Linked DNA regions of Styela clava. The protein of the gene in region 1 binds, or shares a complex with, the protein of each later gene. Links are inferred from orthologs where the notes say so. Each region holds a gene or a part of one and is shown in the gene's direction. Other genes may lie near its edges. The genes, in order: DNA polymerase alpha subunit B-like, DNA polymerase alpha catalytic subunit-like, DNA primase small subunit-like and DNA primase large subunit-like.

Evidence for each region.
Region 2: DNA polymerase alpha subunit B-like (region 1) and DNA polymerase alpha catalytic subunit-like share a complex: the UniProt entries of both Drosophila melanogaster proteins name them as parts of the alpha DNA polymerase complex. The link is inferred for Styela clava from reciprocal best matches to the Drosophila melanogaster genes PolA2 and PolA1.
Region 3: DNA polymerase alpha subunit B-like (region 1) and DNA primase small subunit-like share a complex: the UniProt entries of both Drosophila melanogaster proteins name them as parts of the alpha DNA polymerase complex. The link is inferred for Styela clava from reciprocal best matches to the Drosophila melanogaster genes PolA2 and Prim1.
Region 4: DNA polymerase alpha subunit B-like (region 1) and DNA primase large subunit-like share a complex: the UniProt entries of both Drosophila melanogaster proteins name them as parts of the alpha DNA polymerase complex. The link is inferred for Styela clava from reciprocal best matches to the Drosophila melanogaster genes PolA2 and Prim2.

Annotation. Positions count from the first base shown.
Region 1 is NC_135264.1:10,461,612-10,469,096, forward strand, and holds the start of DNA polymerase alpha subunit B-like, read left to right. Parts: upstream 1-4,470; 5' UTR 4,471-4,706; coding exon 4,707-4,791; intron 4,792-4,874; coding exon 4,875-4,996; intron 4,997-5,290; coding exon 5,291-5,580; intron 5,581-6,168; coding exon 6,169-6,359; intron 6,360-7,052; coding exon 7,053-7,312; intron 7,313-7,485. Other genes in the region: lysophosphatidic acid phosphatase type 6-like, read left to right, coding at 416-911, 1,609-1,769, 2,082-2,281, 2,558-2,951. UniProt on the Drosophila melanogaster protein: Accessory subunit of the DNA polymerase alpha complex (also known as the alpha DNA polymerase-primase complex) which plays an essential role in the initiation of DNA synthesis.
Region 2 is NC_135256.1:23,488,858-23,495,755, forward strand, and holds the start of DNA polymerase alpha catalytic subunit-like, read left to right. Parts: upstream 1-3,882; 5' UTR 3,883-4,011; intron 4,012-5,552; 5' UTR 5,553-5,627; coding exon 5,628-5,676; intron 5,677-5,892; coding exon 5,893-6,002; intron 6,003-6,898. Other genes in the region: ubiquitin carboxyl-terminal hydrolase 15-like, read left to right, coding at 1-140, 278-485, 1,992-2,216. UniProt on the Drosophila melanogaster protein: Catalytic subunit of the DNA polymerase alpha complex (also known as the alpha DNA polymerase-primase complex) which plays an essential role in the initiation of DNA synthesis.
Region 3 is NC_135258.1:14,386,572-14,393,887, forward strand, and holds DNA primase small subunit-like, read left to right. Parts: upstream 1-4,882; 5' UTR 4,883-4,886; coding exon 4,887-6,194; 3' UTR 6,195-6,816; downstream 6,817-7,316. Other genes in the region: uncharacterized protein LOC120339549, read left to right, coding at 1-59, 466-1,470; thymidylate synthase-like, read left to right, coding at 3,308-4,315; large ribosomal subunit protein mL48-like, read left to right, coding at 6,825-6,968. UniProt on the Drosophila melanogaster protein: Catalytic subunit of the DNA primase complex and component of the DNA polymerase alpha complex (also known as the alpha DNA polymerase-primase complex) which play an essential role in the initiation of DNA synthesis.
Region 4 is NC_135261.1:19,112,276-19,119,357, reverse strand, and holds DNA primase large subunit-like, read left to right. Parts: upstream 1-4,180; 5' UTR 4,181-4,252; coding exon 4,253-5,797; 3' UTR 5,798-6,571; downstream 6,572-7,082. UniProt on the Drosophila melanogaster protein: Regulatory subunit of the DNA primase complex and component of the DNA polymerase alpha complex (also known as the alpha DNA polymerase-primase complex) which play an essential role in the initiation of DNA synthesis.

The DNA of each region.
Region 1 (7,485 bases):
TAATGTACGGTATTAACCAGAAGGGATTGCTGCTTGTTACTGTATAACTAGGTTACGGTATCGGTGCACTCTGACACCAAGAACTCGAACTTATTTACCAACCACACCTGCAAACTCTGCACTATTCAGCTATTGGCAACGTCCTGCAGTGCTTGTACATGCATTCAAACGGCATCGTTATTTTCCCATTTTATTCTGTCATCTTAATCTCATCAGATGAGATAGTTTTTCAAATGCACATATCTGTATATTGGAAATAATGCCTAAAAACTTGAGCACGATTTTAGAACAATATTATTGTATTTTAAGCAAGCGCTTCATTAGGATAGGGAAAATTTTTTAATGGTCACTTTCAGTAACAATCGATACTCTTAATTGCATCTCATGCAGTCATTAATTACAAATATACAGCGTTATGAATTTAACGAAAATAGTTTTGGGTGCTTCTGCTGCTGTTTCATGTGCTGTGGTTGGATATCAGGGCAAAAAGCTAGTGGCCGCACAAAAAGAATATGAATTGGTTCATGTCCAAGTTATATTCCGTCATGGAGCAAGGACACCATTACATATACCATCGTACATTCCTACAGTACGATACGATGAAAGCTTACTAGAACATGCTTCAAAAACCGTCATCCCTTACGAATTAGTAACCTTCTCCTCCAGTCTTCCTGAGAGTCCATTTGAAGAATCGTACAAGCACAGGGGTAAATTGGAAGGGGGCTGTTTGCCTGGTCAATTGACCCATGTCGGAGCAGACCAGATGTATCAATTGGGACTGTATCTTAAAAAACGTTACTTGGAAGATGAAAGGTTTTTGTCTTCATCATACTCAGGCCTGTTAAACGAAATTTACACCAGATCTACAAATATTGAAAGGACAATTATGTCTGCAAGATGTGTTCTGGCAGGTAAATACGATTCTGTACATTTGGATATAAAATTGTGTGGCACCTAAGTAATCTTTGTTAAAAGTCTTTTTCCATTTATGATTTATTGTATTTGAATAACCCAAAAGTATATAAAAGTATAAGACGGACAAACTTGGTTTCATTCAAAAATACAGCTAATATAATTTAATAGTCAATTCAATGTTGTAGAATTATAATGATTTTACTGCTTTTTATGAATGTTCTATTCCATGACTCTCTTGCATTGTTGAAACACTTTAAAAATTTCGGGGTAAAAAATAGCTTTAATTTTTTTATGTGCTTTTAGTTAAAAAAAAAACAAGCCAGTTTTGGCTTCAAAGTGGCGAGTGGAGCGGTCAAGCCCACCTTTTCATACATCCAACTTGGTCCAATCTGGAATCAGGAGACTCTTATTATAATCAGCTTCGCGATATCCTTCAACGAATTTATTTTTTACATTTCACACCTTCACACCTGTTTACTAATTTGGTATTTAATTTGGCAATTTTCTACAAAAATATTAATACAAGGAGGCAGGTTTTTTTTTCATTTATGTGTGTAGTTATCTTTCATTTCTTACTTTTTCTATTGTAATTTTATATAATGTCGCTGTGGTTGTATGTATACATACATGCAAAGAGTTGCAACTTCGCACACATGTATGCACAATTTAATATCTTTTGTTTTTTTATCACAGGGATATTTTCAGGTAAATCTGGAAGCGATGTTCTTCAAATTCATGTCACACCACCAAATGAAGAAATAATGTATCCAAATTATTATACCTGTCACTATCTGCGTCTTCTAACAAGATGGGCATGGTCACATCCTGAGAAAATACCTGGCGTATCTGCAATCGTAAGTTGGAAATGGCTATGTCTTTTCGTATAATTTTTCAATTATCTAGCATTGGAAAACTTTTGAAAATAAAATAACACAACTGTTATATAAGGCAGTATTAGAACCTTGTTACATATGAGTTATAAATCTTAATTGTGAAATGACCCTTTGTTAAGTTTTTGACAATTAAAAACATCAAATTTTATATTTATTTTGTGGGTGATTTTTGCAACCAAATATTTAGAATTTTGGAAGACTATACAGGACAGGCCTAATCCCTAGTTTGATGATGAACATGGCATTTTTACATGAATTTTGTTTTGTTTGAAGCAAGAAATGGTTCGAAAACCTCTAAGTATTTCCGATAAAGACACAGCTGATTTGGTATCGATAAGAGACAATATTGCTGTTGAAGAAGCTCATAACAAGCCATCTGTTGGAAGCAAACTTAGCTTGAAAACACGAGATATAGTGGAAGAAGGTGCAATGAAAATCATGCATACTGCGTTTGTTGGAGAAGAGAATGTCAGGTAGACGATTTAAATATTGGCCTCATCCACCAATAATAGGTAATGATGTGTTGTTTTTATTGATTTCCCACATTGTTCACATGGTATGGCTTTTCTTATCAATTACAAACAATGGCTTTTATGTGATGACTGATAAAATCTGAAACTGCGGCCTTTTGCAACTGTGTAACTTTCGATTGTATTTCTATTCATGGGTAATTTGAAACGCTTGTAAGCTTGAAACGGTATGGTAACTTATTTAGAGTGGAAAATTCTTATTTAATTACTTTCCAACAGGGAAAGATCTTTGAAGCTGGCGATTGGGCCTTTTGTCGATATATTAATGAACAACATAGAAGTGAGGTCAGAGGGCAAAGACTCATCGAATATCAAAATGCATCTTTATTCTGGCCACGACACAACCTTGATACCGCTACTTAGTGCTCTTGGTATAAGGTATGCTCATTGGCCACCATATGCTGGAAATGTTATCATCGAGTTGCATCGCAAAAATAATGCTTCAGGAAAAGAACCAAGTTACTTTGTTCGGATGCTGTACAATGGAGAAGAACAGCCTGTTGGACGATGGATGAAGTATATGTGTCCCCTGAAAGAATTTCAGGATTCTGTGGGCGATATTCGTATTGCTTATGAAGACTATTCAAAGCAATGCATGAAAACTGAAGATTGAAGTTCATCAAATTATCATGTTTTCTCAACTTATTCATAGCATAATAATTTATTTGTTATATTGGGTTATATGCAATTATTTCTTGCTGATTTATCCACTTTATCTATATACCCATGTCACTGCGATTCATACTTTTAAGGAACAAATTAATTTTTGCTTAATTTACACACTCTCACCATACCTGTTGTAATTTGCTCATTTTATGAAACAAAATATACGAATTTATCGACAATAACATGGTACATCATCATATATTATATACAATCAGCACAAGATTTGCCTGAGATTTTGCTTTTTTCAGTTTGCACACTAGGATGTCGTTTAAACTGCGGGACAGAAAAGGAAGATCCATAAGTTGGCCTAATCGCGGGTTTTGGCCGCTGTTTCAAATATGTAGGGCATTAGATGTTATGGATTGCCCAGGGGTGAGCACGGTTTTTGGATCAGGGGCCAAATTTTGTCCACCTAGACTGGCGGGCCATGTAGGTATGATCTAAAATGTTACATTTTATGAACAGTGTTACAAAAGCAACAATGGAAAGCGATAAGCCTCGTGCCAAAACTAAATTTAACCGCAATCTCAACAAATTCCCTGGGCAATTTTCAACTAAAACATCAACATTTGGTTAAGGCAGCATCAGGCGGGCGATTTCGGCCCGCGAGCCGTCTGAACTACGATGATTGAACCTCCTACATGACGAAGTGTATACGTATACGTACCACTTCTGTTGACAACGCCGTTAAATTTGCAGGTTTTAAACATCCAGGCATCGTTTTTTAGAACACATTAATTAAATGCGATTAATTCGTTTATCGACTGTTATTAGTCTGTTCGTTAATTAGTTTGTTTACTCAATATACATGGTGCATGAAATAAGTGAATGTAATTCGATAAAAGCAAAACCAGGTTTTGCCGTTTTGTTTGCTCTTCTATAATCATTTATAGGTGTTTTACGTTTTTGTTTGTTTTTCCCGTTCATGGAGTCAAATAAATTGATACCTATAGGCTACCTATATAACACGATAATACTTTCATCTTTCAAATGAAAAGTTGACAAGAACAGTGCGACGGTGCGGGTGGCATTATTAAGATTCATTCAATCATGGAGACCGATGCCCAACGCTGTCAGATGAGTTCATATTTATTCACTCATCATAGCAATGTCTGATTCTATATTAGTTTCATAAATTAGCATGGCCGCCGGCCGAAAGATATATACGTGTATGCATGGGGTGAGCGTATTTAGTGGAACAGCCTTTCTGAAAAGGTTTCAATTACCAGAACCGATTTATTATAGGAATTTTTAATTTACATTCTGCAGTATCAGTTACTGAACTTTATTCCCATCTTGTATGCAAGATAGCTAACCCTCTGCGACGTAAAAATCAATACGCGCCAGGGCATCAGAAATTTTGTATTAAATTTATTTGTATTTACTTTGAAAAAATTAGGGTATAGACGTAAAAACTTCGCTCTGACTGAATTTCTAATTGGGAAATGTATAAACTTATGTATAAACTTACCGATTGTGCCATCTCGAGCTCGTTGAGGATCTGGCAACACTGTTGAGTTGAGTCGACGCACCTCATTCTTTCTTGTTTTCCCGCCTTTGGGTCCGCAGTGCACAGGCATATGGGTCGGCGTGGCGATGGTTATGGTTTGTTTTATCTCTTGACTGCTTCATGTTGAAGTTAGTGGTTTGTTGAAAGTGTAGCGGTTGGGCAAAACATTCCCCAATACTCCGACTTTAAATTATGGCTGACACAACAGCAGATGACGTGAAAGAGAGCTTGTCTATATTTGATATAAACGTTCAAGATGATGGCACATTAGAAAAAAGTGAGTGAAATTCTAAAGAATATTTTTTGTTTAATTGCCATCAACGACGCTGTTTAATGTGTTTATCGATTTTCTTATCCCAGTGCTTGAAATTGCAACATTGTTCAACTATGATGCAGATTCAATCGTAAATGAATGGCTGGCTTATCAAAGTACACATGGATGTAAGCTGAGCATTGAAAATCTTGATAAACTTCTTCTTGAGGTATTACTTTGTTAAGTAGGCTATGTTTATGGTAGTCTGCTTGCTGTTGAGTTATTTATCATGTAAATATCTATATTACTGTATTATGGTCAAGATTAAATTTTAGATTAGGTTAATAAAACTGCATTAATTTGTACCGTACTCACTCAAAAGACTGCGAGCAGCATTGTACTGTTGTAGATTGTTGAATTCATTGTCCCCTTTTTTTTTTTATCTGAATCAATTTAAAAAAAAAATTTATTGAACGAGTAATTTTAAACAAATTTTTTTCAGTAATATATTTTGTTTCTCAAGAAAACAGTTGGGAAAAATCGTTCAAAGAACAGTTCGACACCTGCATCCAATCGGAAACGAAACCCTTTGGTATTATACACTGCGGATAATATTGCGTCATTGCACGATAGTTCAACTTCAGAAGATGTAGAGGAAAATGATTTATTAAGCGCTTACGGAACTCCAAATCGAGTCAATACTAAACAAAAACGAACTCAAAATATGACACCAAAATCTGCCATTAAGACGAAGCCTACTGATAATATTTCAGCGAGTCCAGCTGTATTTTCGCCCTCTTCATTCTCACCTGGGTAAATATTCTCAAATCTGTATCATACAAAGAATGCTTTATACTGGTGATCAGACAAGGCTTTAAACTTATACCCACCTCAAATCTGAGTCATATAAAATATGACCCTGCCTCTCGATTTTGATTGGCAAAAATTTTGACTCACGACTTTGAATACGATAAAGACCTATTGTTTTCCACTTTTGCTTTTGTAACACTGTAAATATTAGTAATAAAATGTAACTTTTTTACGTCACACTTACATAGCCCGCCAGTCTAGGTGGGCAAAAGGCAAAAGTTTTGACCCCTGGCCCCCAAATCGTCCCCCACCCTGCTTTATCTACTAACAAGACACAACCCCGACTACTACAGCATAGGTTAAGACCGAATTTTTCTGGCATGGTTATTGAATTCCTATGTAATTCACTTGCATCATCGGCACAGATTCAATACTATTCTAATCAGTCAAAATTTATTGATCCCTATATTGAGGAGATAAAATAATGATAAAAGTTGACCTCTCATTCAAATCTCCTAAGGATTTGAGTTGGTGTCTTGCAAAGTATTCTTACTTGCATGGCTCTGATTAATTCCTTATTTTTTATTCCAGCTCAACCTCGTCACAGAAGTATACGAGTCGGAGTAACTCCGGTAGTGTTTTGGATAGTTTTGGTCCGAGTCACGAGTCCATAACAAACCATAGAGGAACGGGAAGACAAATATCCATTGTCGTGGACAAAAAACGCAATATTAGTAAACCATATAAATATATGTTCCAGAAATTGGTGGATTTGTCTGATGGTAAATATATTTACAGAATTCATTGTAACCTATTTGAGTGAGTTCATTTTTCAACTCTGTGGTTTGAAGCATAAGTCGCAAGTGAGCATCTTATATGAACAAATTATTTGGTCATTTTGCGATTGAGCATCTTATATAAACAAATTATTTTGGTCGTTTATGAGTGAGAGTGCATTACTCAGCTTGGAGATTAGTTTTCTTACATTTGTGTGATTGTCAGTAAATTTGCTCAAAGATGAGTCTTCTTCACTTCTGAGTGAGTGCCTGTAACTTTGCCCACAAATGGGTCTTCTCTTTTTCTGAGTGAGTGCACATGAGTAAATTGCCTTGTATATAAATGATCCACTTTTAAGTCAGCTCAGTCAGCCTCAATACATGCTGGTTGGGCGTTACAAAAGTGGTAGAATAATGCGGATGGCTCTCAAATGATTTGTCTCGGAAATTGTTTTAATTTTTGAGATGATTCAATGTCAACCTCAACGTTCGTGAGAGTGGACTGACTTTTTGTATGTATTGTCTGTCCTAGTCTGACAACGTACACAACATGGATGCTCTGTGTTTATATAGTTTGTAAAATATTCTGTATTTTCAGAACGTATTTGGAACAGCAATTTATTTGCTTTTTTTGCCTTCTCTGCAATGCCACAGTATTTATACTCCGATAATTCTATTTTTCTATTTATATAATTTCAGTTTTGGACGAAATGATAGAAAATGCTGCTGAAACTATACAATCGCAAAACTCTTCTGAAATAGATGTTTATTCACCATGTTCAATGCATTCCCAAGAACCTGTTCATATCGTCGGAAGAATCTGCTGCGATTCTAGCGGAGGTGTAGGAAGGTTGAATTCGCAGTCTGTTTTATTACAAGGTGATAGAGGAATTTCAAGCGGAAAATATGTTGCGATTGATTTGAGCCAATTAGAAGAGTTTTCTTTATTTCCAGGACAGGCAAGTGTTTTTTCCCATATTTGTTCTGAGGGAGTCACTAGACAAGCTCTGATGTGGAGTCTACTCGCAAGGAAAAATTGTGCTGCCCGCGGAGAAGTGCCAATTTTGAATGGTCTGCGGCTCGTGAAACGAGTATTTACTTTAGTTTAATCTGATACGATTGGCTTGTGTGA
Region 2 (6,898 bases), on another chromosome or scaffold:
AAATGTAAAGACCACAAGCAAGCAACAAAGAAGTTTGATTTATGGACATTACCACCCGTTCTCATTATTCATTTGAAAAGGTTTTCATACACACGTTGGTCGAGAGATAAAATAGGAACATATGTTGATTTTCCAACAAGGTTAGACTTATATTGTTCATAATGCACAGTTTTTGTTAACACTTCACAGTGATCTTAATTCAGTTCTGCTATGATCGATTGAAAATAATGGCCTTAGGTGTCTGAATGATGATTTTTATTTTATTCCTTTGATGTAGAGATCTAGATTTGTCTGATTTCATTATCAACCCTGCTAAGAGCAAGTGGCATGAACAAAAGAAGAGATATAATCTGATTGGTGTATCAAATCATTATGGGGGTATGGGAGGCGGACATTATACTGCATATTGTCGTAATTATAAAGATGGAAAATGGTATTATTTTGATGACAGTAGTGTTACTGAAAGCTCCGAAGACAAAGTCAAGGTATGTCATTCAATACTATTACATGGCGTTAATAGGGCCCGACCGATAGTGCCTTTTTGAACAGATACCGATAGTTTTCTGAAAATAGGCCGATACCGATGTTTCCTCACCTACAAATTAACAAGCAACAATCTGAGAATATTGTGTTTTTCTTGCAAAAGAAATGAAATTTTGAACTCATGCAATTGTGTGCGTGGCAAGAAAGAACATTTATTGTAAGGGCAGGAAACTTATGAATCTCAGAAGCTCCAGTTCAACAGTCTCAGATGTAGTTGAGCAGAGTTTTTCTGCATTGGCTCCTATGCTTTTCTGCATTGGCTCCAATCATACTTGCTCTTGTGTTTTGCTTTGAGATGGCTCTACAAGTTATACTTATACTCATCTTTTTTTTTAAATCGGCGGTACCCTTCGACTTAATAATGATAAGCATATTTTACAAATTACGCCATCATTATGGCACACAAAGTATTACCATACTTTGCTTTTGCTCTCACCGCTAGAACCAGCCGTCTACAACATATCAATACAAGAAGTTAAATCGCGCCTTGAACGAACTTGTATTATTATTTGACACAAATAGGATGTGCACACGTTTCTCTCGCTTCAATTTGCAAGCCACCACGTCCGTTTTGGATAAGAGAGACGCAGTCAAAAGCCGCTTTTTGATAAGAAAGAAATAGAATTAACGAAGAAAAAGAGTATTAGGCAGAACCACTCTCAATGAAACAAGCGATAAAACTGCTTTCCCTGCGTAATTTTGACACCTTGGCAGTCACATGATTGGCCGATATATATCGGTAAAATTAGCCAGCCGATACGGATAGTTCGAAATTTATGAAAAAACATGGCTGATATATCGGTCGGGCCCTCATATTAACATCTTTTGTCCTGGAATATTTTTATATTAGTCAGCGATGATCTCTATGGCGGGACAAATATAGAGATACCTGTAGTGTATATAGAGTGTATGATTACACTAATTTCATTTCGCATGTTCATCGTGAGGAAATAAACGAGTTTCGGTCAGTCCATTTTGCCCGAAGAAAGGTTTGCAAAGCTAATTGCACATCCACGTTACATAACTGCAACGTTTGGCAGTTCTTATATTTGCAAGTAATTTTTCAACTATGAAAGTTAGCAAGTCAGCACTCCGCACACGACTAATGGACGAGCATTTGCATGCTGTCCTGAGACTAGCAAAACACCGCAAAATAAGGCCATTAATCGGAACCAAATATCCAGCACAAGTAAATGCATATGTTTTATGTATCGTTTGCTGTACGATTCAAGTGTAATTTTAACACGATACATTCAGATATCCATTTTTGTACCTTATTTCTTGGTTTACGGCCCGCATGGTCAATAAATTTCAAAAAGTGGCCCGCGACATGGTTTGAGTTCTATAGAGATACAAATTTGGTCAAATTCATTTTGTTTCTTATGAGATGACACAGATGAATGAAACTGCATAGAAATTTATAAACGTGATTCATCATTTTTCAACAGACAAAAGCTGCTTATATGTTGATGTATCAGAGACAAGACATTGAGGAATGGGTTAACAAAGAAGGAGATGATGATTTCAATTTCTTGGAATCAATGGTGAGTCCAAGGAGCTGCCACGTTCGAGGATTCGATTTTAACATGAGTGAGAAAAAGAGAGAGCAACTACTCAACGGAAATGATTCAAATTTATCTAACTGTGGTGAGGAAGAAATGGATACCAGTTGATTATGAACTGAATGTCATTTTTTGCACGCAAAGTTTTTGTAAAGCACATAAATAATTTTGACGACTTTATTTTTCAAAAGATTAGAAAATTTGGTATTGTATCGCTTTCCTTAAAATAACATGTAGAGAAATTACAAATGAAAAATTGCTTAAGCAATGTCATTCTTTGTATTTGATCCCCGATGAAATATCTTGTTAATTCATGCCTCATTATGTATCTTTTTATTCAAGATATTTATTTATCTGCAATTTAAAAGTTATGGAAGCTAATGTTATCTTGGCCTACCGCAACTTTTTAGGGACTACCGGTAATCCACGGCCACTGCAACTTAACTAAAACTTTTGGGGTAACAAAATGACCACTGAAATTATTGCATCATCTTTGACATATTTTAAGTAGATGCTCTGGGTAGCATCCTTGTTAGCATGACCTCGTTAGTCACAGCTGAACAGGAATATCTTGTATGCGACGACCTGTTTGTGAACGAATCTACTTATCATATTTAGTTTGATCTGATTGACTGATTATTTTGGAAAGTTCTTTTATCGATATGTATTTCTATATTTCGTCATTATCTCGTGAGTTCAATTTGGTTCCAATTACTTATATCAAAAGATACACTTTTTTTATTTTGAGGTTGAAATAGGTTACTCTGCTCATCTACAATATCATAGAGCTCATTTATTCTTCATTGATTATTTGTACAAATATAGAATAGCAATATAATTGTTAATTCCATGGTATTGAAATCTCAATTGGTTTATAGCCACACAAATATAGAATAGCAATATAATTGGTAATGCCATGGTATTGAAATCTCAATTGGTTTATAGCCACTATGATTTATATTTCATAATTTTTATTGTACCCTTCTGGCCTGCATGTTTTTTTCTTGCTTATGTTCCTGTATTGTCTACTTCTGCTTCATTCATTGTCTTTACCTCCTGTATTATCTTGTGATTAAAATGTTCATGAGAATATGCAGAACTTAATTTATGGGCAATCTTGTTGATATTTGACCAGGTTCTTCCAATTTTTTCAGAAAGAGATAATTTCTGAACCTCGTGATTGAATGTCATAGATTCCACTTGTAACCAGAGGAATAGTTGTGTGACCAGATTATTCATTTTTCTCATACCTCTGGTAGAAAATGTAAATTGGATAAATATAAATTGATTTTGCTGATGCAATGTTTTGGTTTCATGCCTATTTATAAGGATCACATATGTATATCATTTCAATTAATTATTCTTATATATGAGTATGCGAAATAAAGAGAAATTACAGTAGAAGTTGTCGTTTTCATATTTAGCAACAGTTTAAAGGCAATTGCGAGAGTGCCCAAACGATGTTATAGGCAGTGGTGGAATTCAGACGATTCGCATCGGTTTTGGAGAATCGTCTCACGGAATTTTATCAGCTAACCGGTTAGCATTACTGGTTGCTGTCCATGTTCTGTTTGCAACAGAATGACGAAAAATTTGACAGTTCACCACTGGTTATAGGTTGTATACAAGCGTCTTTTCAGATCAAGGTAGTGAAACTGCCTGAATGAGATTGGCCGTGAAGTCAACCGTAGTTGACAACACGCTTAGTGTCGAACGATTTTAAAAATTTGCAAAGGAGAAAAAAACAAGATAAAGTCACAAACTGCTGCACGCGATGTGGAAATCTCTTACAAAACCACTGGACCGCGACAGCGTGGAAAAGGGCAAAATGTGCTTTCCCGCCATTTTACCTCCAACGTAAAACGTGCTGCAGGTGTTTTAGAGGCAGGAATTCTCCGATTCCCAGGTACAGTATAACTTCGATATTTTTTTAATTTGATAACATTATAATTAGGTATAGGCTACTAATTAGCAATAGGGCTGATATACCGCGTACGGGTATAGCGCAACCCTGTCTGCCTGTAACGTTGTCTGGTTATTTGGAATATTATGAAGTTCAGAACATTTGACATTCATAGCTTAGATTTATGGTACCGGTATGGCTTTTTGGAAATCTGGAAATAATAGCGTACTGTTGCTGTATTGCAGCTCAAACCGAATAATCTTAGGATCGATCCAATGTATTTAAGGAGCAGACGATTTTGAATTTGGAAATGCAGCAAAAAGCAAAATCTGACAGATTTGTGGATGAACAATCTGCTGATCTGACAATGATTTGATTCATTTTCAATTTTTTTATATGATGCACTTTAAAATGTATCTCCTAAGTTACATCTATTGGTTAACTAATTAATGTAACTCATAAGTTATGTCTGCTCAAAATAAAGACTGTAAGAAGTTGAACGATGTTGGTTATATTTCTGTATTTCATTGTACTGTACGGCACACTATCTAAATTCTGTGAATTTCCTTCCATCTGGTTCAGTAAAACAAACATTCCATGTGTCTCACAAATGAGGGGCGTCTGACACCACGTCAGATGCTTCATATCATGTCATGTTTGTCTCAATGCCGTACATGATCAAAATTGCTGTTTTTGCTAAAAACTTTTGAATGTCACGATTCATTATACTGTATTTTTACCGATATTGAGGAACAACAATGTCCAGACGCCTCCCAAAGAAGGGGTGTCTGATCATTGGTAAAATGGGTTTCTCTGAAACGAGATAAAGTCGCTCGATCTGTATAGTGTGCCATCCTGTTGTATGTTAATGAATTTTCATCTCGGACTGTTGATAGAGAGATACTGAGATAGAGGAATATTTTATAGTCTACAAAGTGTCTGGCTTGTTGGGGCATCTGGCACAACGGCAGATGCGTAATATCGCGCCATGCTTGCCTCGATAATAGTCTAAAATCTAAATTAATCGCGGCTGTCACATGCTGACCTGACCAAAATTGTCGTTTTTTGCTAAAAGCTCTTGAATGCCACGGTAGAAATTTCTTTCCTTCTGTAAATCGGATTATTTTTTCCTGAGGAATTCAATGATGACGTTTTTAGATTGCGCTCCTTTGTAGTTTTTTGTGCAACTTCATTTTACTGTATTTTTACTGATATCGAGGGACAACAATGTCCAGAAGTCCCTGAATAGAGATCGGCAAAATGGGATTCTCTGGAACGAGACAATGTCTCTCGATCTGTATAGTGTGCAATACTCTTCTTGCATCCAGTATAGCAAATATATTTTATTCAATATCTAGCCCTATTATGAGAACAAAGCCCTTAGTTTTTACTTTCAAGCTTTGTCATCAGATATCTCCATATTAGTTTATGTCAAATATCAGCATAGTGAAGCATCTGATATATCTGCATTCCGCTGTGCAATGTACCTTTGCTTGGGATGTGGCTGTGTTTTTCCACTGTTTGAAATTAAATTTATTTTACAGAAAAATTGAAGCACATGTAACGCATCCACATTAAATCAATGTGAAAAGATTGCCTGAAGAAATAAACTCTATAAAATGTCTTCTGCCAATGATGATGCTGAGGATAATGGGTCATCCACGCAGGGTAAAATTGCTACAAATGTCTATATACAAATTTGGCAATCAAGAAGCTAAATTATGGTCTTATTTGAATCTGTACAACTGGAATAATGTCCCATGTTGTCAAGAATTTGTTTCAATAAATGAGGTTCAAGTCAGCTTGGTTATTCTCAGAAAGAATTAATTTGCTTATCTATTCTTATTAACAAAATTATTATTTCAAAAATTAAATAAATTACAGGGCTTGCATCAACCAGGTCTAGAAGAGAACGCAAAGATAAAACTGGTAGAAAAGCGATGTTAGAAAAACTGAAAGCTGCAAAAAATAAAGGAGAACGACTAAAATATGAAGTAAATGATTCTGTTGAATTTTGTGTGAAATATTATTCATTGATAATTAAATATATATATTTATGGAATGGATCCAAAGTTAACCAATTTTGATAAACTGTTGTCGCTGACAAAATTCATTTTTATGTATCAAACGAACTAATTGCTTTCAAATTTTCGATAGTATGGACCATAACCTCAATGTTCACCTAAAATTTTTAATAATATAGCCACCACTGCCACTTGATTTTTTAGAAATTATCTGTGTTGTAACCAGTGGCGCAACCAGGCTGTTTTCAACGGGGGGGTCCGACCGGAATTTACACAGTGCAACCACGACGTAAGTCGCAACGCCACTAGGTGTCGGCCCGCTGACCACGATAAATTGCTCATGGTTAAAAGGGAAACGCCATCGATTAAATCCCAGCCTTTCGCTTACTTTGCACTCGTTCATTAACGGCGCTTCGTTATGTCTTGCACCTCGTGGGTAGCAAAACGTCGTTCATTACATTCTAGCGAATTGCTAACGAAAAGCTGTTAATTATTTTCAACGTTTCCCTCGCTTTGCGCCTCGTGGATAATGAAACACGGCTTGAATAAATTCCAGTGTTTCATTCGTGCCGCGCCTTGCTCGTTGGGTGAATTCGTCAAGACTAAAAACAAAATGCACTTCTTGCGAATGGACCTTTTCCCGACCCTAACCTCAGAAAAATTCTAAACTAAACTGAAGCTCACCGGAAGACATAATGACAATTAAAATAATTGATTTACAACTAATTTTTGGAAACACAACTAAAAACTGACTAATTTAATGCAGGGATGTCCAAATCGAATTTAAATTCAAATACTGTTTTTTCGTGTTTATAATAATCCCGAATATGGCGCACATATCCTAGCGTCGTCGTCCATGTGTGGTT
Region 3 (7,316 bases), on another chromosome or scaffold:
CCTCTGTGATAACCGGAAGCATAGGATCAACAAATATAAAAGCGATGGATATTTACCAGGTCAGTCAATTATATATATTATCGGACACGAAATAGACTCATGGCCGTTTTGCCTAATAGTTGTTGTTTTTCTTGCTGAGGCTGTGTCTTATTTTTAGTGTTATGATAAATTGACATTCTTAGCAAGTAATAGACCTATCAAATTTTCATTGCTTGAAGACGAAAAGAGTCGCCAATGCTTCTGATTTAGCTTATGGATGGCGTTGAGAATTTAGTGTCTGGCGTGCGGCAAAGATGAATAGAAACATAGACGTCGCTCAGCGAAACTTTGGTCAAAGATTTATGTCATATTCCACCTTTTTTTGAATATTAGTGTCGGGTATCGGCATTATATGAAATGGCGGCTAATCTGTGCAACCCATAGCGGCTTCAGAGGTTAGAGCATAATTTTTTTTTATATATTCAGAGCGTGTTTCAGTGCTGTGGTGCCAAATCTCCAAAAGACTGGATTCAAGTCGATAAGGAAAACGGAATCGTCTACGATTGGATCCCCCAGTCATGCTGTATTAACTCTTCGGACTGCTCGATATCTCCAAGAAACGTAATTCTTGATGTTTCTTCTACTGCTATCTCAATGACTACGGCCAATCCTGGCATGGGCACCTCAATTCCGTTTTCCCTTGGAAACGATGCTACATTTGATTTTGTTCAAACCCAGATTTACGATAGGGGATGTGACACTGCTATTCAATCTTTCCTAACCTTACACAGTTTGTTGCTATTTGCATCAGCATTCATACTGATTTTATTGCACACATCCTGGGTTATTTGGCGCCGAAATGCTGGACTTCCGTACCTATGTTGTGAATTCAATCGTAGAAAAAATCGAGTTCTACCTATTCATCTCGAAGTTAACGGTAGTCCGACGAGTTCAAATGAAAGCCTATTTTTCTTGCAAAATAAGCTCATAAACAACATCAGCAGCAGTGAAAGCTTTCAACTCATTAATGTCCCAGAGAGTTCGGAGAGTAACCACATAGTTATGAAAAAGCCTGGACCACCGTCAATAACGCGAGTAGGACAGGATATAGCAATTTCTCCCTTAGAAAATCTTCGTTCATCTTTCACTAATAAGGATGAAACGAAATACAGGCCACGCACGTCGAGAGCAAGGCCAAAAACAGGCATTAGTCGATCTGCAGGAAACTTGCCACGTAATGTTTCAAGGATGCTTGAGGAAACTATGTCAGGACATCGACCGCCAACGCCTGCTAAATTGCCTCAACAAGTGATGGTAGTTCATGGTGATAATGAAGATGCTGACACTTTCGAACCTGCTCATTTCTCTGGGCCTGCTTCAAGCAAAGACACATGGGCAACGGCTGTCAATGTTGAAGTTCCCAACACCAAGCGACAAAATGACGACGACAAGCTTTCGATTTATAGCATTGACAGCCTCGAAGGATGGTAAACCATGCCTCATATCTTATATAGCGGGCGCTACCACGCGATGCGGTGCTGAATTTACTTGTTTTTATTTAATGATATTACTCGCATAATAAATAAAAAAATTCATTGGAAAAGCATATAATTTTACTTACAAAATGGGCAGGTTATAAGAAAAATAAATTTCCTTGATCGCTAAAAACCTGCATCATCAATTTCCATCCAGCACTCGTTTATCTAATAAGTGCTTAATTACTAAAGTTATCACTTCTTACTCCAACAGCGGTTGACCCGTTGTTTCTTTCGTGTAGATCAGAGGTGACGAACCTGCGGCCCACGAAGCATTCTGGCAATTCAGTGTATGTTTGGAGTAAAGTCACAAACCTCCATGAACTGTACAGAGAGAATGGGAGCGCAAGTGTTACCGTATTCATATTACTGGCAACAACACTATTTCCAACACATCTATTTTTTTGGATCATCGATACCTCTAACAATGGATCAAAATGACCATTGTCGTAGCATAGTTACGCTCTCTTATCGGCAAACGCATACGGTTTAATAGAGAAGGAGTAATCTCACTTTATGAAAATGCTCAATGAATAAAACAATGGTAGAAAGTACATGGTACAGTACATTAAAAATTGATTTTGCAATAATACGCAGGTAGTAAACTCAAACTTTCGTGTTAAAAATGCTGTGGTATTCGAAAGGGAATTTGGATCTGGAACATCCGAGCCGAGCGTTTATATTGCATTATATAATTGAATAACATCAGCTGTATTGATGCCGTTGTTCGTTTAGTAGATGAAAATCAACAGGTATCATACGGTAGTACGACTATAAATTGTGCGGCCCGCTCACTCAGCGGTGACTGATAAAGTGGCCCGCTACAGCAAATTGGTTCGTCACCCCTGGTGTAGATTCTCTTCTCCATCTGCCTTGCATATTTTCCTTCACTTTCATCTCACTTTTGGTTCTATTTCCATTTCATGTATGTAGGCTACTTTAAATACTAATACCACGTGTCACATATTCAGAATCCTATATTTATACAAACATGGCATATAATCATAATAATCTTGGCACATTTTTATCAAGTTCTAAAATCCAGATTGTTGAATTATAAAATATATACCTGTTTCGACGGGAACTTAGCAGTGACATATTCTATTTAAGAATGGCGCAGTTTGTTCTTTTCTCTTTTTTACTTTGATTAATCATCGTAAGGATGTCGCATAGCTTGTAATAGATTAGTATAGTATTTTCTGAAAGTGCGAGACTTTTTTAGAAGAAGTATACTATCCAGATGAGGCTGGGCCATTTCAAAAATAGCATTTTCGTAGGACATGGCGCGTGGCAAACCCCATACTTCAACGTTCGAGACGAATGTGAAGAATTGATTAAAATATTGAGCATTGAACGTTAGATCCTATTATGAAGAATATAAGGTATTCGTATTTCACAAATTGAATAATCGTCCATACACTAATCGGATAAATTAGATTTTCAACATTGCTTGTAAACAACGTTTTCGTAGTTTGGAGGAGAGGGATGAGATTTTTAATTATATTTGCTATACTGGTCTTATGACAAATGATGATTTTGAAAAAGCTAATCAGTTTATATTTAAAAAATTATGTAAAAACTCCCAATATAAGCAAAAATATCGCACTAGTAAGTTACGCCTAAATGTCAAATTGACGAAATAAAACAAACCAGTCGCCGGAGCGCGAACGTGATGTGAGTATGTGAAAGGGTAGTTTGAGTTTCTTCGCGCGCTTTTACAGTCTTAGGAATTAGGATTCTAGATTCGTCAGGTAATTCTGTGAATCAATAATCTTTTACGGTAGAACTGTAGTATGGAAAATCAGCCACCTGTTTCTTCGCAAATGATGCCCATGGAAGTAGCACCAGAAGAAATCCGCAAACATGGTACCGGTACGCCTCTCGCACAAATCAATCCAAATTGCCCTAGCAAATGTACAGAAACGACATCAGAAGAACAACACGGCGAGTATGAATACCTCAACTTATGCAGAAGGATATTGTCTAAGGGTAAAATAAAGGGAGATAGAACCGGCACAGGAACAATATCTTTGTTTGGTGCTCAAATGCGTTATGACTTGAGAGAAAGTTTCCCGTTGTTGACCACCAAACGTGTCTTTTGGAAAGGTGTTCTAGAAGAATTACTTTGGTTTATAAGAGGCAGCACCAATGGAAATGAATTATCTTCTAAAGGAGTTCGAATATGGGATGCCAACGGCTCTCGTGAGTTTCTCGATAAATTGGGATTTCATGATCGTGAAGTTGGAGATCTGGGACCTGTTTATGGGTTTCAATGGAGACATTTTGGCGCTGAATATGTTGACATGAACACTGATTATACTGGGAAAGGTGTTGATCAGCTTTCTCAAGTAATAGAAACAATTAAAAAGGATCCAGACAACAGGAGAATTATGATGTGTGCCTGGAATGTTACAGACATACCAAAAATGGCCTTGCCTCCATGTCATGCAATGTGCCAGTTTTATGTGTGTGATGGAGAACTATCATGCCAACTTTATCAGAGATCAGCAGATATGGGGCTTGGTGTGCCTTTCAATATCGCTAGCTATTCCCTTCTTACATACATGATCGCTCATATTACAGGCTTAAAACCTGGCGATTTCGTACACACAATAGGAGATGCTCATGTATACAGCAATCATGTTGAACCTCTCAATGAACAGTTAAAACGTGTACCTCGACCATTTCCACTTCTTAAAATAAAAAGACAAATATCAAATATTGATGATTTCAAATATGAAGATTTTGAGCTGGTAAACTATAAACCTCATGGCAAAATTGCAATGAAAATGGCTGTTTGACCAAGGCACACTTGCTAAAGAGTCTTAGACATACACGAGCTATTTGGTGTCAGCACGAACAAGATTATGAACATTTATTTACTATAAATATTTCAGAAACTGCTTACCTATTAAATAATGCAGATATCTGAATAGATTATTTGATAAGTATAGAATGGCCATCCACGATTTTCAGTTGTACACCAGGGTTTTATATTTGTACCATACAATTTTGTACAATACAAAAATGTGTAATCTAAATATGGTTAGATAATCTAAAAATTGACTTTTTAGTCTTGGTACAAAAAATAATACAATCATGTAACTAAATCATGGAAATGTTAAGAAGTGAAGCTGTAAACCAATCATACCAATTTAGGATGCAAAATAAGCACTTCTTCTGTTAGAGCTTTGTAGCCCAAACTTGAAAGTGTTTATTGTACATTCCAGATATACACATTCCTTGCCGCAAGTGGTTATTTATGTCATGTATAGTTTTTGTTGTTATTGTGTCTATTTATCAGTTTACAATTTGTATATTGTTCTTTTTTCAGTATAAAAACACCAAATTTGAATATTCTCTAAACTGGTTATGTCTGAAGAAAAGGAAATCGAAGTTAAAAAAGAAACAACAAATCAAGAGGAATTTGCTTATGACGCATCAAGTCTACCAAGCTTGCTTCCAATTTATTATAAACTCTTGTTTCCTTATGGGCCGTTCTATTCTTGGTTGAGTTACGGAGGTCTCAATAAAACTACATTTTCAAACCGGGAATTTTCGTTCACTTTACAGAATGATATTTATGTTCGATACCAATCTTTTACAAGTCAGCAAGAAATGGAGAAAGAAATCCAGAAAATGAAACCTCACAAAATTGACATTGGAGCCATATTTTCCCATCCACCAAAAGATCATAATAAATATCATAGCGGCATTTTTAAACCTCTAGAAAAAGAACTTGTGTTTGACATTGATATGACTGATTACGATGACGTTAGAAAATGTTGTCAAGGAGCTGATATTTGTACAAAATGTTGGCCTCTTATGACAATGGCTATTAAATTGATTGATAGAGCCCTGAGAGAGGATTTTGGATTCATGCATCGACTGTGGATATATTCTGGTAGACGTGGAGTCCATTGCTGGGTATGTGACGACAAAGTACGAAAATTGCCGAATAAAGCAAGATCTGCGATCGTGGACTACTTGAGTGTGATTCAAGGTGGTAATTTGGAGAAAAGAGTTAATCTTAAAGATCCAGTCCACCCGTTTTTAAGACATTGTATAACCACAATATCGAAGCAGCATTGGGAGGAATACCGACAGGCACAAGAAATTCTTGAAACCCCTTCAGACGTTGAAAAAGTACTAAAAATGGTTCCTGATGCTGAAATGAAGGAAAAATTGAAAACGGAATTTAATAACGATAATCGTACAACTGAAACTAGATGGGAAAGAATAAGAAAAGCCACTGCTGAAAGATATCAAGAAGACATGAAAAAATATCGTAAGCTTCGTTACACGCCACAAGAAATTATGCTAGAATTTTGTTATCCTCGTCTCGATGCCAACGTCAGCACAAGTATTAATCACTTGTTAAAGAGTCCTTTTTCTGTTCATCCTAAAACCGGACGTGTTTGTGTACCAATTGATATAGATAGCGTTGATGATTTCGACCCTTTTGCTGTCCCGACTATCAGCCAACTTTGCCACGAGTTAGACTCACAAAAAGCAGAAAAAACAGAAGACAATTCTGACGGTTCCACTAGAAAGATCCACCTTTATAAAACAACAAGTATCAAAAAACACGTCAAGATTTTTGAAGATTTCGTTAACAAATTATTAGCAGATAGCCGTAAGGAAAAACTTAATCAGAAAGATGCAACAATGGATTTTTGATTGTTTTTATATTGAAACTGATTATTCTCAATCATAATTTTTGTTAGCTAGCAAATTGTTAGCGGACAGTCGTAAGGAAATACCTAATCAGAAAGATTTATATGAACTTTAGATTGTTGTTCGCGTTGACACTGTTTATTCTCAATCATAACTTTTGGTATCTGGATTTGACATGTTGGTAAATTGTAAACAATGTGCTGCTGCAGGTTTTGTTAATATTGGTTTCATTTAGGAAAGAACACTAGGGCTCTAATCAACTTGATAGACCTAATTTTAGCACCCGAACCTCAGAAACACTGCCGATTGGTCATTAGGAAGATATAGTACTGACCATTCAATAACTCCGTGTGGCCTAAAGCATAAAAATTGACCCAGACAAAATAAGCCCCAACCCCTACAAAGCTTCTTGGTAGAATTTTCCCCGGAGACCACCAAAAAATAGAAGATCCCAATTACTTAGTTGTTTAATATTATTTAAAATATGTCAATTTAGCTATAAAATACATATTTTGTAACTCTTTCCACACAATATAGTAAAAATTGTCTATATCCCCATTGGGTGGTTGTCGTGTTTCTAATTGCATAACAATACTGTAAATAATTTTTCACTTTTTTCCTTAGATTTTAAATATGACTTCTAGAATTTCTTATACAATTTTACGTGGAATTTGTAGCAGAGGTTTATGTACAAGTGCTGCACGTCTTGGTTTTCTTCCACATGATCTTTTAAGAAGTGATATGCTCAGTTTGAGCGGCCTTGTCAAGCAAAAAAAGGTAAATTTGAAATGCCTATATACCTTACGCTAGGACAGCGCTGTCTGTGAAAATGCACAGTAGAGGGAAATCAAATTTTGAAAATGAATACTTGACGTATTGATTTCTATTATACGTTATTGACTCTGGAGAAAAATAATGATTTCAGCTCTACGGCGACATGTTATTAATAGGAATTGATTTACGTGTTCGAATCCCATTCAGGGATAGTTAAGTGCGATAGGATTCTTGGACTTCTCACCGCCGTAGGGTTATTCACGCTACCACTGGTCGGTTACGGCTTCCTCCACGATCAGGTCCATGCTTCCAAAAACAAACAACTGACTACTGATCAAATTGAAAAGCCTT
Region 4 (7,082 bases), on another chromosome or scaffold:
AGTCGTTCTTCAAGTCAAAAAAGTCAACATTGAGGTGCTAGTTGGTCAGTTAACTGCAGTGGATGGTCTTACATTTAATCAAATTGCCAAAAGTGAGAGGCTACATCAAGCGTTCAAAACTGATGGTTATACGCTGCCCAAATCACACAAACGTGTTCGTAGTCTGGTGATGGAAAACTTTGAAACCGTCAAGAAATTAGTCAAGGAAGAGTTTTGTGCAACCAAACTGAATAATGGTCGTTTTTCCATAACATTTGATGTTACAACATCCGCAAGAAATCGTCGTTACATGAACATTAATTGTCATTTTCAAGGTGGCTTTCATTCGCTGGGATTGATTCGCATCCACGGCAGCATGGACACACAAAAAGCAATCGACTTAGTTGGTAATCGACTAAACTCCTTTGGTCTCGACCTGAATACAGCTATTGTTTCCACAATCACTGATGGTGCTAGTTTGATGGTAAAATTTGGAAAAGAGACGGGTCCACTCCATGTGATCTGCTTTGCTCACGCGATTCATTTGGCCGTTTGTGACGTGTTATACAAAAGGCAACCGGTCGCAGTATGCTCTGATGAACTTGACTGTCACAGTGACAGTTCAGACGAAGATGACAACGACTCAGAACAACGCGAGGATTTCGGATTTTCTTTAACTTTATCTCCCAACCTTGACACATTGATCAAGAAAGTCAGAAACATCGTGAAAATATTCAGAAGGTCGCCTGTGAAAAATGATGATGCTCTTCAACCATTTGTCTTGAAGTCTTTTGGAAAGGAAATTACACTACTGCTCGACTACAAAACCCGATGGAACAGTTTGCTCTCAATGCTAGAGAGATTCTATCAGCTACGAAAAGAGGTAAAATTGGCTCTAGTTCGACTGGATATTGATTTTGACTTATCTGAAAATGACATGAAAATTATCGAGGGACTGTGTGATGCTCTTGCTCCCATAAAAGTTGCGTTACACTCTCCAGTGAAGATGCAGACATTCTTTTAGCAGAAAAAGTAATTGCATTTACTTTAAAGAAGCTTGGTGATCAGAAAACTGGAATCAGCCAGGCATTAAAAGACCGGTTCAAAGCACGAATTGAAGAACGGCGGAATGCTGAGTTGGTCCATCTATTGAAATATTTAAAAAGTCCGTCTTATCTTGATCAAGTTCAGGATCAATTTGGGCACAGAGTAAAGCGGCCCAGAATTGCTGCTCTGGCCATGGGCATCTTGCAGAGATTATTTCCTCAAGAGGCTTACAATGCGGGCTACATTGTGCATATTGATGTTGACAGTGAAATTCTTGACGAAGAAAAGAAAATGACTTTAGCAGAGTAATCCACAGTTTTGTGGAAGATGACGAAGTAGAAGACAGGCGACCTGGCAACCTGAGCTCTAGTGTAATTCAAAAAGAGATGGTACTGTATGAAACAAGCAAAAAGAGACCTGAAAACCTTGAAAAGTTGTACGCTGCCCTAAAAACAATTAAACCCACGTCCGTCGAGGCAGAAAGAGCGTTTTCTGCCCTTGGATTTTTCGCAAACAAAATAAGAAGTCGTATGAACGATAACACCCTAGATGCTTTAATATTTCTGCGTCGATATTACATGAAATAAATATGTGATTTTATTGTGATGCAACTTGTTTCAATCTTTTACTCAATCCCGAAAAAATCCCGGGATTTTACGGCTCAATCCCGGGGTATCCCGATACCATGATTTCAAAAACTAGTCCCTAAATCCCAACCCTAGCCAGAAAGATGAACGTTCGTGTTTTTATCCTTATTTATATGTTTGTTTGTGTAATATGTTTGAACTGGCATATGTATTTCCACATGTTTCATCCCTTTCTAGAGGTTTTTGCCAGTTTTCCCAATCTTCTTCATTGTTTTGTGTATGTTTTTTAGGCATGTTATGTATCGCCGAAATCAAAATAAACTTATAAAACAGAGCGAGAAATATCTACAGATTTTTTCTTGGGTTAAGGGTCAGGTAAACAACAACCATAGTTTGCGCGGGAAAGATTCTCACTAATATGAAGTCACAGCAGTGACGCAGAATTCAAGAATTTGTGATAAGAGTTAGGTACGGTACCGGTACTGTATCTTATTTATTATAATGTGTAATTATTGTAATGTGCGAACTAAATGGTGCGAAAACCCATCTCTAATGTCTGTATGTATTTCAGTAATTACTTGGTGGTGGAGGAAGCCGTAACCGACCAGCGGTTACGTGAACCACCCAACGACGGCGAGCAGTCCAGCAATCCTCTCGCACATAACCATCCCTGCATGGGATTCGAACCTGCGAACCCACGCAGAGTAATTAGAGGTGCGGTGGCGAGCGTATTCCTAACGCTTAGCCCGTTGAGCCACACCGCCGCGCCTGTACCGTACAGACATAATATTTTCAACACACAGAGTTTCTCTGAAATTATTAAAATGCATGATATAGTCTATGCATTATATAAAGCCTAAGTTAGAATAGTTTATTCAGGTGTATCCATTTCCCGATTTCTTAAAAATGCCAATCTAATGATTATTTGTCCTACTGTCCTATGTGTATGGAAGTCATGAGTCCAGATGACTAGATGAAGTCATTTTTTCTATAGACCTGTAGATCCTACTGCCCTGTGACGGTTCAACTGTAAAGAATTCACTATTTACAGAAATTAAGGTATCAGGAACTTATCAATTTTTAATAAATGAGGCTGAGCTGCCGAGAGTTGAAGTTTACTGTAGTAAATTTCACTTTACTGCTTTACCACACTGACTATTGTATAATGCTGTTTTTGTATAATCTCACTAATGTTTCATCAATAGTCTGATAGCACACAATGAGTTTGTCGGTAAAATTATAGGGTCTAGTATAGTTAAGTACCACAAGTACTTCCAGTGGGCGTAGCATAACGATTTTTGCATATGTTATTCCTAACTCTCACCTGACTATGCCATCCATTACGTCACCATCACGTCATAGGGATTGCCAAAGTATAATTACGATCGCCCGAAATGGAATCTGCGCCGCCGATAAGAACTTGCTAAAGCCGGCGATCTCTCTCCTATCGTGATCGTTGCGACGAGAAAACGAGAGAAATCGCTTGCTCGATTTCGGGTTATCGTCTGCGCGTTTTGGACGACCATCCGCATACTTCGATGGGCCTTATTACGCCACTGTGACGTCGGAATGACGTAATTTTTCGGTGACGTAGTCAGGTGGGGGTTAGGATTGACATATGCAAAAATTGTTGAGCCAGGCCAACTAGAAGTCGATGTGGTACTAAACTATACCAGACCCAACTTATAGACCAAACATTGGTAAACCCAATGGGACAAGAGAGAGAGTTTATTATTTTTGTTTTGATTGGGAGATGGCGATACGGCCAAAGGTCATCAAAGTCAGCCACCACCCATTCCAGCCAAATACGGCTGTTTCAGTACAGCACACTATCCAAATTCCAAGAATTTCCCTCCATTTGGCTCAATAAAACAAACCTCTGTGTCTCACAAACGAGGGGCGTCTGGGACTACGTCAGATGTTTCATATCGCGCCATGCTTGTCTCAATAATAATCTAAATTAATCGCGGCTGTCACATGACCAAAATTGCCGTTTTTTGCTAAAAACTCTCGAATGCTTCGGTAAAAAAATTTTTTCTTTGGTAAATCGGATTATTTGTTCCCAAAGAATTCAATGCTGACGTTACTAGATTGCGCTTTTTTGTAGTATTTTGCGCAACTTCGTTATACTGTATTATTACCAATATTGAGGGACGGGATGTTACCCGATTTGTATAGTGTGCCGTTTTGTGTTTGGGTAATACAATCTGGCCCACCTGATGCTGCTAAACTAAACTACAGAACTAACACCAAAGTTTGATGTTGAAGGTAAAAAATAGATCAAAGAATTTGTTTGGATTGCGTTTAAATTTAGTTTTGAGACGAGGCTTATTGTTTTCCACTTTTGCTTTTGTAACACTGTAAATATTATTCATAAAATGTAACTTTTGTGTCACACTTACATGGCCCAGGTCCAAAAACCTTGCCCACTGCTGTTATAGACCCTTATCCTATGCACATTTTATCCATAATATTCAGAGTGAGTCCAGTTAAAAATGTGAATTGCTTAATTGAGCAAGGCAATAATGAACTATACCAACCCAAATGGATTTTAGTTAAAGTTAATTGAATGCCATAATGGTTGCTTGTTTTTCAGTTTTTGTATTTATTGTAATAGCAGTTTCTTCAAAACCTAAAAAATGCAGTTTGGTGGAACACCCAAACCATCTGCTTCTAGAAGAAAGCGACTTCGATTGGCGGATGGCTTATCTGATGACCTTTACCCTCACGGTTTAATGATGTATAACAGACCACCAATGTGCAACATCACCCTCCAAGAATTTGAATCATTTGCATATGATAGAGTAAAAGTTTTGCACTATTTGGATTCATTAGGAGTGTCTTATGTCAAAAATAGTCCAGATTACTGCCAAAAACTTGGAGACTATTTAAGAAAAAATTATGTTGGGTTTACATTAACATCTGAGCCATCGAAAGATACAGAAGAAAGGAATTTAGAATGGCGTCGTAAGGATCACATTTCCCACTTTATTCTCAGACTGGCGTATTGTCGTTCCGATGAACTTCGTCGTTGGTTTTTGGAAAAAGAGGTGGATTTATTCAAATATCGATTTAATTGTGAATCAACGTCAAGTATCAAACAATTTTTAATGTTGAATGATATGACTTATTATCCAATCTCAGAGGAGGAAAAAGAAAAGTTTTCTGCGCATCTAAAATTGATATCCTACGATATGACTCAGTCTAAGGTCCAGTCAACTAACTTTTATAAAGTTCCTTTCACTGATGTTTTGAATCTTGTATCATCACGTCGTGTGTTTATCAACTCAGGTTATGCCTATGTTCCACAGTCAGAGTTGATATCCATCATTAGCACACGTTTTCGTGAACACCTATCTAAAGCTTTAGCTCAGACTTCAAGATCACTACCTGAGTTAGAAGAGGATGATAGACTCTTGCCTATACTTAGGGGATTCAATAAAAACACTCTTGCTGAAGCATACGATCCAAACAAAAATGCTGGCAAAGTATCTATCAAGCAAATTGATGAATTATCTAAAATCTCATTTCCATTATGTATGCGGCAATTGCATCAAGTTTTGCGTGAGACTCATCATCATAAGCACTGGGCTCGTTTGCAGTATGGACTTTTCTTAAAGGGCATAGGTGTTACTCTTGAGGAATCAATTAAATTCTGGAAAGCTGAATTTAGTAAAGGAGTTGGGGAAGAAAAATTCAACAAAGAGTATTCCTATAATTTCCGACATATGTTTGGTCGTGAAGGTAAAAGAACAAATTATGCTCCTTATGGTTGCATGAATATTATAATGAAAAATGTACCAGCACCTGGTGAACACCACGGTTGCCCTTTCAAACACTCATCTCCAGAACTCTTAAAACAACGCCTCCATCACTATAAAATACCAAAAGACTCAATTGACGAGATCATTAAACTAATGAAAAGCCAGCATTATCAAATTGCTTGTACAAAATACTATGAGGTGACACACAAAGTTGATGAAGCAGGTTTTCAACTTAACCATCCAAACCAATACTTTGATGAAAGTCAAATGCTCTTGAAAGGTGAGAAAAAGACCACCGGGCTGAAACCTAGTCAAGGAAATGCAGAATTTACTCCGAAGTGGTCACAACCAGTTCCTGAATCTCAAACTGAAGAATCAGAAATGGAATTGGATGCCCTAATGACAGAAGTTGATGTTTAAACTGCTGGAAATAATATTACAGCCAATATTAATTGATGTTTATTTATCAATATGTTAAATCATACTTTATATTTCTCAACATATTTTGTGCAGCAAACTATGGTGTGAATGTATGACCAACCGTGAGCCACAGGTTCAAGTCATGATCATGAATGGCCCAGGATTGCAATTCTGGAATATGTAAATTACAATTTATATGATTAAAGGAGAACAACTGTTTTTTCTATTGTCACTGATGTTTAGACTCTGTAGTTTATAGACATTGGGAAGGTTTGAAGTTGAGTATATGAGAAATTCACATGTTATTGTGGCTTGTGCTAATGGAACTTTATTTGCATCCTTTAAAACAGGGGTAGGCAAATTACAGCCCGTTGGCCAGATCTGACCCACTTGTCTGCTGAAATTATGATTATAGTCTTTATAAATATATGTTTCTGTTGAGAATATCGATGATAATCACGTCATAATGACCCCGATCGTTCAATTGTGCTCATTATAAAAACGTTAGCAAAGTTGTTGGACTAGCTGTTGTGAATAAACGGTTTTTCATTCATAGTTTTTTTCATATATATGGACATATTGAGCCTCCAGCTCAGTACTGAAGCCTATTATCTGTAACTTGCCCATCAAGAAAAGTTAATTGCCTACCCCTGCTTTAAAAGAATATTCAATGATAAAATGCGATGTATTTTTGCAGTTTACCTAATACTATATTGCTGAAAAATATGACAAACAGTTTAAATATGGCATGCTAACTTTCAAGTTGGTCAGAAATCATGTGTCTTGAGAACGCTTCATTAGACAAACAATAGACAATAAGTTTATTTCGTCGTGCAATTAGTATGGATGCTAACCGCTGAGACAGCTATGCCTTTGAAGTGATTTGTGACACATGCCACAGGTTATTCATTTTACTAGTTTATACAACCTGATATAAACATATTCCATCATAGCTAATTTTATCGAATTACGTACGTTTCCCTAAAAAATAAAACCAACGTTTTTTGCGCTTGTTGGCGCTTTCGTTCTCTCGCATGAACTTGTAGGATACAGAATTTTCGACGCTCTATAAGTATAATAAGTATAAGTTTATTTCGACTCCATAATCAGCATAACAATACATTTGACAGATAAAAACAAATAAATAAAAACTGATTATGAAATCAGGGGAGCAAACAAAACCTTAGATAAGGTTTATAACGTACAAAATATAAGATGGAAGGTTTTGCCAAGAGGAAGTGGTACGTGTTTACTCACCTAAAATTATTAAGTTATTTCACACACG